Linked DNA regions of Lonchura striata. The protein of the gene in region 1 interacts with the protein of each later gene in a pairwise test. Links are inferred from orthologs where the notes say so. Each region holds a gene or a part of one and is shown on either strand. Other genes may lie near its edges.

Region 1 (7,486 bases):
ACACATGGACACAGGGACATGGGGGACACACGGACACGGGGACAGGGGGACACATGGGCACACGGACACACAGTCATGGGGACACACAGACACGGGGACACACAGCCATGGGGACACACGGACACACGTACACGGGGACACACGGACACACGGACACACGGACACACGGACGCGGGGACAGCCGGTGTCCGCAGCCCGCGCCCCCGCTCCCCCCGGTCCCCCGCAGCCGCCGCAGCTCCGCGGCCCCGCCCGCCGCCGGTCACGCAACCTCCCCGCACCCCCCGCACCCCCACCCTGCCCGGGCCCGCACCCCGCACCCACCGCCCCCACCCGCAGCCCCCATCCCACCCGCACCCACCCGCAGCCCCCATCCCACCCGCACCCACCGCCCCCACCCGCACCGCCACCCCCGCGACTCCCCCCGCGCCCGCAACCTCCTGCCCCGCATTGCGCCGGCACAGCCGCACCGCGCCGGCCCCGGCCAGGGACCCCCACCCAGGGACCCCACCCAGGGACCCCACCCAGGGACCCCATCCACGGACCCCATCCACGGACCTCACCCACGGACCCCCCATCCCATGGAATCCCCCCCACCCACGGACCCCATCCACGGACCCCATCCACGGACCCCATCCACGGACCCCATCCACGGACACCACCCTCGGACCCCCACCCACGGACCCCCCCTCCCATGGAATCCCCCCCATCCACCGACCCCCATCCACGGACCCCCACCTACGGACCCCATCCACGGACCCCACCCACGGACCCCATCCACGGACCCCATCCACGGACCTCACCCACGGACCCCACCCACGGACCCCATCCACGGACCCCATCCACGGACCCCACCCAGGCACCCCACCCACGGACCCCACCCACGGACCCCCCCACCCACGGCCCCCTCCCCACGCCCGCAGACCCCCCCGGGGACCATCGCTTCCCCCCGACGCCCCCTCCGGGCGAGGGGGGGGCGTTATGGGGAGGCGGGGAGGGGGTGGCAATATTTTGGGGGCCTCAGCCGCCCCCCGGATGAGCCCCTAACAAAGGGCGGGGCCGCAGCGCCGGGGGAGGGGGGGATCTGCGGCACCCCCCCACCCCCCCGGCTGCTTTGGGGGCCGATCGTGCCCCCCCGGCGGGGTCAGGGCGTTTCTGCTCAGTGTAAACATCCCCCCCCCGGCACTGGGCAAACTGGGAGTGCCCGAGCCTCGGAAATGGGGGGAGGGTCCCGGGGGGCAGCGGCCGCACCCAGAGCAGGGTCTGCCCCCCAAGTGACAACGCCCCCGCTGCGGGGACCCCCTCCCGAAGTGGGGGTGCCGCCCCCCCCCACCCTGGGGGTCCCCCCGCTCTGACTCACCCCCACCACGACGCTGTCGTCCCCCTGGAACACGGGCAGGAACTTGTCCCCCCGCAGGATCTCGGCCTGGTTGAGGGGCCGGAACCGGCACAGGACCTTGATGCTGCACTCGGAGCTGAGCTCGGCCATGGCGGGGGTCGGGGGGCGGCGAGACGGGGGCGGGCAAGGCAGCGGGGGTGTCACAGCCTAAGGCTCCGGCGGCACCGGGGCGCAGGAGGGTACCCGGGGATGCCCGGCGGTACCCGAGGGTGCAGGATGCAGCTCAGGGACGCGGGATGCTGCCCAAAGATGCAGGGGGGTGCCCAGGTGGTGCCCAGGGATGCAGGATGCTGCTCAGGGATGCAGGATGCTGCCCAAAGATGCAGGATGCTGCTCAGGGACGCAGGATGCTGCCCAAAGATGCAGGATGCTGCTCAGGGATGCAGGATGCTGCTCAGGGACGCAGGATGCTGCCCGGGCGGTACCCAAGGACTCGGAATGCTGCCCGGGATGCAGGATGCTGCTCAGCACTGCAGGGTGGTACCCAGGGCTGCGGGTGGTACCCAGGGATGCAGGATGCGCTGCGGGATGCAGGATGCGGCTTGCGGGCTGCAGGATGCGGGAGGCGGCGCCGGGCGGGGCTGACGCTCCGCAGCTGCCGCTGTCGCCGCTCCTGTGACCGCCGCTGTCGCCACTGCAGCCCCGGGACCGGCGGGCGGGGGGGCCGCCCCCCGCGCCCCCTCCCCCGCCTTAAGGTGGAGCCGCCCGCGGCTCTTAAGGTGGACGGAACTGGAAGGGGGGGACGCAGCCCCGGGGATGGACCCCCCCAAAATGCTGATTCACGGCTGGAGGAGCGGGACGGGCCGGGGAACGGGACCGGGGCGCGGCTGGGGAGGGGGGAGCAGGGCCAGCCTCCCCCCGCCGCCCTGCCCGGTGTCCCCCCCGCGGGAAGGCGGCGGTCCTGACTCATCCCCCCGGCCTGGAGATCCCCCGCCCCTCCGTGAGACCCCCCAAACACGCCGGGGGGCGGCCCGGAGCTGACCCCGGGGGTCTCCCGCGGGTGAGAAGTGCAGCCTCACCATGGGATGCAGCCCTGGACACACCCATGGGTGCCCACCCACCTGCGTGGCCGCAGTGCCACCCAGCCTGTGCTTGCCCCCACTGATGGGGGACACCCATGAGCCTGCCCCGGGTGTCCCCCCGGGTCCCCACCGTGTCCCCCACCCTGCGCTCTGCCGTGTGCCCCTCATGTGTCCTCCCGTGTGTCCCCCTGGCGTGCGCCCACTGCGTGCCCCTGTGCCCCCCGTGTTTCCCCCTGTGTCCCCCCGTGTCCCTTCATGTGTCCCCACATCTGAACCCCGTGTCCCCCCGCGTGCTCCGCGTGTGCCCCCCCATGTGTGTCCCCGCGCGTGTCCTCGTGTGCCCCCACCCGTGTGCCCCCCTCTGTGTCGCCCCCTGTGTCTCCCCCCGTTCCCCGCCCCTTGTTCACCCCCGGTGTGTCCCCCTCGTACCCCCGTGCCCCGTCCGTGGCCGTGTGCCCCCTGTCCCACACCACTGTCCTCCTCCGTGTCCGTGTGTCCCCATTGTCCCCCCCATCGTCCCCCCCACTGTCCCCCCAATTGTCCTCCCAGTTGTCCCTCCAATTGTCCCCTCCACTGTCCCCCCAGTTGTCCCCTCCACTGTCCCCCCCATCGTCCCCCCCACTGTCCCCCCAATTGTCCTCCCAGTTGTCCCTCCAATTGTCCCCTCCACTGTCCCCCCAGTTGTCCCCTCCACTGTCCCCCCCATCGTCCCCCCCACTGTCCCCCCATCGTCCCCCAGTTGTCCCCCCAACTGTCCCCCCAATTGTCCTCCCAGTTGTCCCCCCCATCGTCCCCCCCCACTGTCCCCCCAGTTGTCCCCCTAATTGTCCCCCCATTGTCCCCCCCACTGTCCCCCCTCCATGTCCCCCCCACTGTCTCCCTAATTGTCCCCCCCCACTGTCCCCCCAGTTGTTCCCCCAGTTGTCCCCCCCACTGTCCCCCCCACTGTCCCCCCCACTGTCCCCCCAGTTGTCCCCCCCATCGTCCCCCCCATCGTCCCCCCCACTGTCCCCCCAGTTGTTCCCCCAGTTGTCCCCCCACTGTCCTCCCCCAATTGTCCTCCCAGTTGTCCCCCCCACTGTCCCACCCCACTGTCCCCCCCACTGTCTCCCCAATTGTCCCCCCCCACTGTCCCCCCAGTTGTTCCCCCAGTTGTCCCCCCCACTGTCCCCCCCCACTGTCCCCCCCACTGTCTCCCCAATTGTCCCCCCCCAATGTCCCCCCCACTGTCCCCCCAGTTGTCCCCCTAATTGTCCCCCCACTGTCCCCCCACTGTCCCCCCAATTGTCCCCCCACTGTCCCCCCAGTTGTCCCCCTAATTGTCCCCCCACTGTCCCCCCAATTGTCCCCCCACTGTCCCCCCAATTGTCCCCCCATTGTCCCCCAGTGCCGCCCCCGCCCCGTCTGCTCGTTCAGGCCCCGCCCCCGCCTCAGCCAGGCCCCGCCCACCTCTCCAGGCCCCGCCCACCCGCCCGGCCCCGCCCCTGCGCTCTCGCCTCTCGCACCGCCCCGCGCGGCTCTCGCGAGACCAGCCCCGCCCCGGCCCTGCGCGGCCATTCCGGGACCCGGCACCGGCCCCGGTACCGACCCCCGGTACCGACCCCCGCAACCGGCCCCGGCACCGGCCCCGGCACCGACCCCCGGTACCGACCCCCGCAACCGGCCCCGGTTCCGACCCCCGGCACCGACCCCCGCAACCGGCCCCGGTTCCGACCCCCAGCACCGACCCCCGGCACCGACCCCCGGTACCGACCCCCGGCACCGACCCCCGGCACCGACCCCCGGTACCCACCCCCGCAACCGGCACCGGCCCCGGTACCGACCCCCGGTACCGACCCCCGCAACCGGCCCCCGGTACCAACCCCCGGTACCGCCCCCACCATGGCCGACCCCAAGTACGCCGACCTGCCCGGCATCGTGAGTGAGGGGCCGGGCCGGGAGGAGCCGGGGCTGTGAGCGGGTGTAGCAGGGGTCGGGGGCTCTGAGGGGATCGGGGGGATCAGAGGGGGCCGGGGGTGCTGAGGGCCCTGAGGGGATCGGGGGAGTCAAGCGGGATAAGCCCTGGGGGACAATGAGGGAACTGCGGGGATCTGGGGTCTGAGGGGGATCTTAGGGGCCCGAGGGGATCTGAGGGGGATCTGGGGGTCTGAGGGGGATCTGGGGATCTGAGGGGGATCTGGGGGTCTGAGGGGGATCTGGGGATCTGAGGGGGATCTGGGGGTCTGAGGGGGATCTGGGGGTCTGAGGGGGATCTGGGGATCTGAGGGGGATCTGGGGGTCTGAGGGGCCCAGAGGGTCTGAGGGGGCCAGAGGGTCTGAGGGGGATCTGGGGGTCTGAGGGGGATCTTAGGGGCCAGAGGGTCTGAGGGGGATCTGGAGGTCTGAGGGGTATTTGGGGATCTGAGGGGGATCTGGGGGTCTGAGGGGGCGGGGGGGTCTGAAGGGGCCAGAGGGTCTGAGGGGGATCTTAGGGGCCCGAGGGGATCTGAGGGGGATCTGGAGGTCTGAGGGGTATTTGGGGATCTGAGGGGGTTCTGGGGGTCTGAGGGGGATCTGGGGGTCTGAGGGGGCCGGGGGGTCTCGGAATTGGAGGGGACCGGTGGGACATGGAGGGACTGGGGAGGTGGGAGAAGGGCGGCTCGGAGAGGGTCCGAGGGTCAGAGCGGGTCAGGGGGATCTGGGGGTGCTGCGGGGTGTCTCAGGGCTCTGGGGGGACCCGGGGAATCAGGGGTCCTGAGGTGGGCTGAGGGGGCTGAGGGACTGCAGGGATCAAGTCAAATTTGGGGGGTCTGAGCTTGGAATGACTGACAGGGTCTGGGGGCCAGGGGGATTTGGGAAATCTGAGGGGTGGTAGGTCTGGAGAAGATCTGGAGGTGAGCTGAGGGGTCCGTGGGGTGGGGGGTTGGCAGTGTTTGGGGTGTAGGAATGGGAGGGGGCTGGGGCTGGGGAGGGCTTGGGGTGCCAGGAAGGGCACCTGTCTGTCTGTCTGTGGGTCTGTCCGTGGGGTGAGCCCGGATCCCTGGGGCGTGGGAGCACCCCGTGCGTTTGGGGTGACGGTGGGAACTGGGACGTGGTGCTGGGGGGAGATCAGGGGACGGGGGCAGTGAGTCGGGGTGTTGGGGGGACACTGGGGTGTTTGAAGTGCTTTTGGGGGAGCGGGGCAGTCAGCACGGGGTGTGGGGACACTGGGATGTCCAGAGGGACATGTGGCACATCAGGGATGAGGTGTGGGGGTCCCAGCACGGTCCTGGTGCCGCAGGCCCGGAACGAGCCCGACGTGTACGAGACCAGTGACCTGCCTGAGGATGACCAGGCCGAGTTCGAGGCGGTAAGGCCCGGCCCGTGGGGGGAGCAGCAGCTGCACCGGACCCCCGGGACCCCCGGGACCCCCAGCACTGGCACCGTGACAGGGAACCAGCCCCCCATGCACCCGGCAGCACCGCATTGTGCACAGCGACACGTCACCCCACAGTGACAGTGTCCTCACAGTCCCAATGTCCTCCACAGTGACAGTGTCCACCCAGTCCCAATGTCCTCCACAGTGACAGTGTGTCCCCACAGTGACATTTTCCTCCACAATGACAGTGTCCCCCACAGTGACAGTGTGTCACCTCACAGTGACATTTTTCCCACAGTTACAGTGTTCACCCAGTCCCAATGTCCCCCACAGTGCCAGTGTCCCCACAGAGACAGTGTCCCCACAGTCCCAATGTCCCCCATGGTGACAGTGTCCCCACAGTGACATTTTTCCCCACAGTGGCAGTGTCCCCCCACAGTGCCAGTGTGCCCCACGGTGACAGTGTCCCCACAGTGCCAGTGTGCCCCACAGTGACAGTGTCCCCACGGTGACAGTGTCCCCACAGTGACAGTGTGCCCCACAGTGGCAGTGTCCCCCCACAGTGCCAGTGTGCCCCACAGTGACAGTGTCCCCCACAGTGTCAGTGTGCCCCACAGTGACAGTGTCCCTACGGTGACAGTGTCCCCCACAGTGACAGTGTCCCCACAGTGACAGTGTCCCCACAGTGACATTTTTCCCCACAGTGACAGTGTCCCCCACAGTGACATTTTCCTCCACAGTGACAGTGTCCCCCACAGTGACAGTGTCCCCACAGTGACATTTTTCCCCACAGTGACAGTGTCCCCCACAGTGACAGTGTCCTCCACAGTGACAGTGTCCCCCCACAGTGACATTTTTCCCCACAGTGACAGTGTCCCCCACAGTGACAGTGTCCCCACAGTGACATTTTTCCCCACAGTGACAGTGTCCCCCACAGTGACATTTTCCTCCACAGTGACAGTGTCCCCACAGTGACATTTTCCTCCACAGTGACAGTGTCCCCACAGTGACAGTGTCCCCACAGTGACAGTGTCCCCCACAGTGGCAGTGTCCCCACAGTGACAGTGTGCCCCACGGTGACAGTGTGCCCCACGGTGACAGTGTCCCCCACAGTGACATTTTCCTCCACAGTGACAGTGTCCCCACGGTGACAGTGTCCCCCACGGTGACAGTGTCCCCCACAGTGACATTTTCCTCCACAGTCCCAATGTCCCCCACAGTGACAGTGTCCCCCACGGTGACAGTGTCCCCCACAGTGACATTTTCCTCCACAGTCCCAATGTCCCCCACAGTGACAGTGTCCCCACAGTGACAGTGTCCCCCACAGTGACATTTTCCTTCACAGTGACAATGTCCCCACAGTGGCAGTGTGCCCCACGGTGACAGTGTCCCCCCATGATGACAATGTTCCCTGCAGTGTAGCCCCCCCACCCCCTGTGGCACCCTGCCTGTGCTTTGGGGCAGGAAGGGGAGAGCAGGACCCGGCTGGGGGTCCCTGTCCTTGCTGTCCTTGTCCCCAAGAGGAACTGAGCTGCCGGTTCCCCAGCCCCACCCCGAGGGGAACAAGGGGGACCCTCTAAACCTGCTCTGAATACTGGGGGGTCCCCAGGCCTGGGCTGAGGCCGTTCTTGGGGGGAGCTGCCCAGGGAGTTCAGTGTGCAGCGACAGAAGGTCCATCCTGGTGGGGCTCAGGGGACCCCCAGAGTGTGGAGTGACACAGGGCTCCATCAC
Region 2 (6,758 bases), on another chromosome or scaffold:
GGAATCAGGATTTCCACCTGCCAAGGAGGAGCTGGAAACCCCATCAGCAAAACCCTTTTTTGTTTTTTTGTTTTTTTTTTTTCCATTTTTTTTGTTTGTTTTTTTGGTTTTTTTTTAGTGCCTGTTGCAGCAGCATTCAAGCAAATTAAATAAATAAATAAACAACATTCCCAACATTTCCTGCAGCACACGGGCTGCTTCAGCCTTTAATTGCTTGGGAGGGGCCGGGAATGAACCCACACTGGAGCTGCACAACAGGACCTTGCCCATGGCCAGGAGGAAGCAGCTGCTGCTCACTGCTCAGCCTCGTGCAGTGAGGGAATAAAAGCCTGGGCCAAAGGTTTGATTTTTACACTTTATTTCAAAAAAAAAAAAAAAGAAAACACAAAACAAGACCACCATAACCCCAAAAATACACTCGAATTTCAAACAATTATATTAATGGCGCTGCTTTTGCAGCCAACTGGGAGAAGATTCATGGTTGCAGACCAACTGCTTGAGGGCATTTCGGTTCTCAAACCACCAAGTATAAATAATTTTTTTTCCATTGATATCAGAAAATAACTTATTATTATTATTATTATATATCTTAGCATAAAAACGTGAGAATTACATCCCAAAAGTACAACAACATTGCTGGCAAAAGGCCTCGATGAACCTGTTTGCTCGTCAAGGCGTTCAAAGCAGGAACTTGAAGTGGCACTTAAGGACAGAGGGAGCGAGGGGAGTTGGGGCTGGGCTCATCCTGTTCTCCTCATCTGCCACACTCGGCATCGCTCCACCGCAGCCAAACCCCCCGCAAGTGACATCAGTTTTAGCGTTATTGTTTTACATCTACGTTTCGTTGTTGCTGTCGGGTTTTTATTTTCCCTCCCGGAGCCGGGGGCAGGGAGTTCCTTCCTGAGCGAGAATTTCTGCGGCGCCGCAGCGGCCGGGCCGGGGTCACCGCTCCGGGAGGTTGATGACCGGCACCCACTGGTCCAGGTACCGGCTCTCCCGGCAGAAACACATCAGCTGGCTCAGCGCCGGGTCCTTCCACTGCGACGCCTGCGGGTTCTGCAAAGGGGACGGCAAAAAAACAAATTAAAAAAAAAAACAAAGCTCCGGCACGGCAGCAAAAACAAGCCCAGAGCGGCGGGCGGGGGCTGGGGGGGAAGCGCAGGAGTGTGAATCATCTCAAATTGCTGGCGAGGCAAACAAACAAGTCGGGCCTGGGAGCGCGTCAGGAGCTTTAGCTTTGGACTCTGGGGCAGAGGAGGGAAGGGGGGAGGGAGAAAAAACCAGGAGGGAGAGATAAAAGTGGGGGAAGGGAGGGAAAGAAAAAGGGAAAAATAAAGAGGGAAAGGAGGAAAGCAAAGGAAAGAAAAGACGGAACAGGGGAAAGAGGCGAGGAACAAAGGAGGAGCCGGGGCACAGCGGCGAACGGGGGCGAGGGCGGCGGAGGCACCGCGGGACCCCGCGCCGCCCCGGGGCCGCGGGTTCGAGCCCCGGGCGCGGCGGCTCGGGGGTCCCGAGCGGCGGCGGGGAGCCCGCGGGGGCAGCCCGGGCTCACCGTGACGAGCACGCAGTGCAGGTCGGCGGGCGGGTCGGGGCCCGCGGCGGGCAGCAGCAGCTCGGCCAGGCGCGCCGGGTTGCTGACGCGCAGGATGTTGATGTCGTTCTCGCAGCAGAAGGCCCGCAGCAGCGTGAAGTGGATCTGCAGCGCCGCGTCCCCCGCCTCCTCCTCCTCGGCCGCCAGCAGGCACAGCACCACGTTATCGGGGTCCCTGCGGGGCAGCGCCGTCACCGCGGGCGCACCGGGCAGGGCGCACCGGGGGGAGGACGGGGACGGGGGGGGCACTCACACGTTGAGCAGCTTGGCCGCCTCGTAGACGCCGAGGGTCAGGCTCCGCTGGCTCAGCGCCTTGCTCAGCACCTCCTCGAGCGCGTCCCCCGCCTGCTCCATCCTGCGCCGGGACACGCGGCACCGGCCGTCACCGGCCACCCCGCGCCGCTCCCCGCCCGGCCCCCGCCGCCCCCCGGCCTCACCTCCCGGCGGCGCGGCGCTCCCCGGGCAGCTCCTCCAGGGTCATCACGGGGCTGGGGCGGCCAGGGGCTGGGGTGGACAGGGGCTGGGGTGGACAGGGGCTGGGGTGGACAGGGGCTGGCGGACACCGCGCTCCGGCCGCTGCGGCCGCTCCGGCCCCGCCGCCCGTGCCGGACAAAGGCGCCCCGCGCGCGCCGCCCCGCCCGGCGCCCGGCCCCGCCCCTTCGTTTGCATAACCAGCGCCCATTGGTTCATGCAAATTAGACCACGCCCATTGCGTGCCGGGTCCGGCCGGGCCTGGCCGGGATCGGGAATGGGAACGGGAATGGGAATGAGATCGGGATCGGGAATGGGAACGGGAACAGGATCGGGAATGGGAACGGGATCTGAGCTCTCCCTGGATCCTTCTCCTCTCCAGGGGAACATTCCCAGGGGCTCTGAGCTCTCCCTGGATCCTTCTCCTCTCCAGGGGAACATTCCCAGGGGCTCTGAGCTCTCCCTGGATCCTTCTCCTCTCCAGGGGAACATTCCCAGGGGCTCTGAGCTCTCCCTGGATCCTTCTCCTCTCCAGGGGAACATTCCCAGGGGCTCTGAGCTCTCCCTGGATCCTTCTCCTCTCCAGGGGAACATTCCCAGGGGCTCTGAGCTCTCCCTGGATCCTTCTCCTCTCCAGGGGAACATTCCCAGGGGCTCTGAGCTCTCCCTGGATCCTTCTCCTTCTGTGTTTGCCACAGGCAGCCACGCTGCTGCCCCTGGATCCCTGGCAGTGCCCAGGCCAGGCTGGACAGGCTGGAGCAGCCTGGGACAGTGGGAGGTGTCCCTGCCACGGCAGGGGTGGCACTGGGTGATCTTTAAGATCTCTCCCAACCCAACCCAGCCTGTGGTTCTGCGATCTCTCCCTTTGCAGCTTTCCAAGAACTTGGTGCTTGTCCGGGAAGCTGCTCCTGCTCCAGATGTCCCGTGTCAGCCCCGAGACCTCCGGGCAGGATTTCTCCTGGTGGCTGCTGTGTCAAAGCTTTCTCAGCTGCTGCACCCAAACCCCTCCATCCTCCCACAGCCGCTGCCAGAGCTCTTTCCCAACCTGGCTGTGGGCTGGCACATTCCCACCGGCCCCACGGCTGCAGTCAGGACCCTTGGTGGTCCCTTACGGAGATTTGGCAGCGTGTGCTTTAAAGTTTGGCTTGTGCCGGTGTTTTCCTGCAGCTCCTGAGCTCCAGGAGCCGTTTCCACAGCACAAGGTGCAGAGCGATGCCAGATCCATGCAGCTCCTGCAGAACCCCTGAGGGAAATGAGATATCACAGAATCCCCCTCTGGGAAATGAGGTATCACAGAATCCTGGAGTGGTTTGGGCTGGAAGGAACCCCAGGGATGGTTTTGTTCCACCCCCCCATCTTGCTCCAAGTCCTGCCCAATCTGGAACACTTCAGGGGCATATCAAAGCGTTTCTGCAGCAGAATAATGAGGGTGATTTCTGCGCCCCCCGGCTGTGCTGGCTCCGGGAGGAAAACCTCCCAGGGCTTTGTTCTGTCCCCCCGGCCCGGCTCTACCCTGCCCTGCTGCCGCAGCCTGGTGAGAGCCGGTGTGGGGGAAAGGGAGAAAAGCCCTTTTTGCATCAGGTGGAGGGGCGGCAGATGGCCGGACCGCAGCAAAACAGGTGGGAGCATTGTGCGGTGACCCTCCGAATTAAGTGCGCTTAATTTGCTGTATCTCTATTAGCAACTGCGGGCTCCGCCTGTGCCTCCGCAGCCCCATCTGTGCCGGCCCCAGAGCTAAATCTGTCTGGGAGGCAGCTGGGAAGCAGCTGAAGGCTCTTTTCCCCTCCCGGGGGCGGCGGGCAGCGCTCTGAACCCGCGCTGGCCCCGCGGCTCTCCCGCCGTCTCCCGTTCTCCCGTTTCCCGAGGATGCGGGATGCGGGCTGCGGGGTGCGCGGGGACAGCGCTGGCCGTGCCGGGATGTGCCGTGGCCGCCGGCCCGGGCAGCCCGGGATGGAGCTGTTGTCCCTCCGTCAGCTCCCAGCTGGCAGCTGCTGCTGAACCTCCTTTCATCGCCTGCCAAAAGCGGCCGCGGTGTTTGTCTCCCCCCCTGCCCTTTAATCCCGACTTTCATCATTCTCTAGGCCGGGCCTGCCCTCCCCTCCTTCGGCGTGGCAGAGTCGGGGGTCGGGAGCCGTGTGGGGCTCAGGCTCCGCCGAGGGGCTCAGCTCTTCCCCCCACTCGGCAGAGCCTCACCCCGAATGTTCTCTGGGCTGCGGGGCTGAGCTGCCCGAGCTCGGAGGCGGCTTGGACAGCAATGGGTTAACCCCAGGGATGTGGGAGATGCCCACTGGAGCCCCCGGTGGGGGAGGACGTCTGGACCAGCTGCAGAGGCGCTTCCCGCACCTCAGAGCATCAGCTTGTTTAATTTCAGATTTTGGGAAGGAGACCAGCCGTCAAACAGCGGCAGTGAGAGGTGACAGAGCCCCATCCCTCCGGAGCCCCGGCAGCCGGCCAGGCCCTTCCCGGGGGTGCCTCGGGGTGGTCCCGGCCCTGAGCCCCTGGAACAGTGCCGGGATGCTGCTCCCGTTCCCTTGGCTCCTGCTGTCCCTCCTTGGGGTGCCCCCGATCCCCCTCCCTCGTTTCCCTGCTTTGTCCTGTCCCAGGTGGGACCTTTGTCCAGCCCCTTGGCTGCTGTGGGAAATCTCGCTGTGCCCGTTTGCTGGGACACCCCTGGGCACCCCAGGCTGCTGTGCCAGGGCCACCGAGCGTTCCCAGTGCCTCTGGATCCGCTGGATGCAGAGCAAACGCCAGCTTGCACATTCCAGGGACGGCCTCTGCTCCGGGAGCCGCCGTGTCCCCGGTGCCACCAGTTCCGTGTCACCGAGCTGACCTGCGGTGCCCAGGCACATCCACCTTCCCAGAGCGGGGCATCCCGCCCCGGAGCCGTGCAGGAGCGGATCCCCGGGCTCTGGCAGCCAGGGAACCTCGGCTTGGCCTCCCCGTGGAGCAGGGCAGGAGCCTGGGAGTGCCCCAGGATCCACCCGCCCTGGCACCATCAGTGCCACATCCTCTCCAGCACCGGCAGCACAAGGACAAGAAGACATTCCCCCCGTTTTCCTGGGAGTCCCCCCACCCCTGCTGGAGCTCAAAGCGGGGTTCAGCTGCAGCCACCCCTGCTGCTGCTCGGGGTTTGGCTTTGGGCAGCCCGGGAGCTCACGGCACAGCGGGAAGGGAAGCCCGGGCCCGCCTGGCCTTGGCTCTGGAGCTGGGCACGGTGCCGGCAGCTTTCTCAACCACCCAGGTCATGGGAGTGCAGCCGAGAGCCCGGCTCGGTGGCACGGAGCAGGGCTGGCACCTCCCCGGCACGGAGCAGGACTGGCACTTCCCCAGCACGGAGCAGGGCTGGCAGCTCCCCGGCACGGAGCAGGGCTGGCACTTCCCCGGCACGGAGCAGGGCTGGCACTTCCCCGGCACGGAGCAGGGCTGGCACTTCCCTGGCACGGAGCAGGACTGGCACTTCCCCGGCACGGAGCAGGACTGGCACTTCCCCAGCACGGAGCAGGGCTGGCAGTTCCCCGGCACGGAGCAGGGCTGGCACCTCCCTGGCACGGAGCAGGGCTGGCACCTCCCCGGCACGGAGCAGGGCTGGCACTTCCCCAGCACGGAGCAGGGCTGGCAGCTCCCCGGCACGGAGCAGGGCTGGCAGCTCCCCGGCACGGGCATTCTCCTCCTGCCTGGCCCCAGCCCCTTTGCGGGCTCCTGAGCGGGGCTCAGCTCCCGCAGAGGTGGGAGGGCAGGGGGCTGGGGCGCCGGGGATCTGGGATGTGTTTATCCCGCACTCAGCACATTCCTGCAGCCCGCCGTGGTGCTGGAAGGTCGCCGAGAGGGAGCCGGCTCTCCCTGGCTGCGGCAGGAGCTCTGCAAACAGCGAGCACGAGTGGGAGCCTGGGAGTGCTCCAGTGGCTTTAAACTGAAGGAGAGGAGATGGAGATTGGAGATCAGGAGGAAATTCTTGGCCGGGAGGGTGGTGAGACCCTGGCAGCTGTGGCTGCTCCGTTCCTGGAAGTGCTCGAAGCCAGCTTGGACAGGGCTTGGAGCAGCCTGGGACAGGGGAAGGTGTCCCTGCCTGCTCCCCAAGGGAGTGGGACTGGAGGAGGTCTAAGGTCCCTTTCAGCCCAAACCACCCCAGGATTCTGTGATTTCATGGCTCACCCATGTCCCACCACCCTGGGTAAATATCTGAAATGTCTTTTCCTTCTGCTGAAGGAGACTTCCTGCTGGAATATCTTTTCCTTCCCCAGCCCAGCAAGTCCCTGCTCAGCTCCTCGTGCCTGTGGGTTCAGGGCAGCAGAAGGCTGTGCTGCTCCTGGCAGGGACGTTCCCTCTGCCCTGCATGCACCCTCCACCCCTTCTCCCTGCAGAATCAGGCGTTTTTCCCAGCCTGGCCATGCCGGGCACGCGTGGCAGCCCGGGTGGGAACCACCCGGCCGGGCAGCGCCGGGCGAAGTCCAGCCCGGGGACAGAGAGAGCCGCGCTGAAGTGAAAACAAACTTTTTCCATTTCTTGGCAGCGTGGGGCCATAAAGCAGCGCACCAGTGGCGCTTCCACGTGGGAACACTTTCCTGTGCCGTGCTGCCAACACCCCCCGGCCCGGTGCTGCCTCCCGCAGGGAATTCCCTGTTCCCGGGCGCTTGGCTTTCCCCGGGCCCGCAGGAGAGCTCCGGTGTGAGCACTGGGAGGGCCGGACCCTCCCCAA

Evidence for each region.
Region 2: the proteins of DCTN2 (region 1) and GADD45A interact in binary tests that used the Homo sapiens proteins (3 or more experiments, as listed by UniProt). The link is inferred for Lonchura striata from reciprocal best matches to the Homo sapiens genes DCTN2 and GADD45A.

The regions. Positions count from the first base shown.
Region 1 is NC_134629.1:5,206,057-5,213,542, forward strand, and holds the start of DCTN2 (dynactin subunit 2), read left to right. Parts: upstream 1-4,249; 5' UTR 4,250-4,299; coding exon 4,300-4,335; intron 4,336-5,677; coding exon 5,678-5,746; intron 5,747-7,486. Other genes in the region: kinesin heavy chain, read right to left, coding at 1,358-1,486. UniProt on the Homo sapiens protein: Part of the dynactin complex that activates the molecular motor dynein for ultra-processive transport along microtubules. In the dynactin soulder domain, binds the ACTR1A filament and acts as a molecular ruler to determine the length.
Region 2 is NC_134611.1:5,083,348-5,090,105, forward strand, and holds GADD45A (growth arrest and DNA damage-inducible protein GADD45 alpha), read right to left. Parts: upstream 2,126-6,758; 5' UTR 2,073-2,125; coding exon 2,029-2,072; intron 1,947-2,028; coding exon 1,845-1,946; intron 1,767-1,844; coding exon 1,553-1,766; intron 1,057-1,552; coding exon 943-1,056; 3' UTR 552-942; downstream 1-551. UniProt on the Homo sapiens protein: In T-cells, functions as a regulator of p38 MAPKs by inhibiting p88 phosphorylation and activity.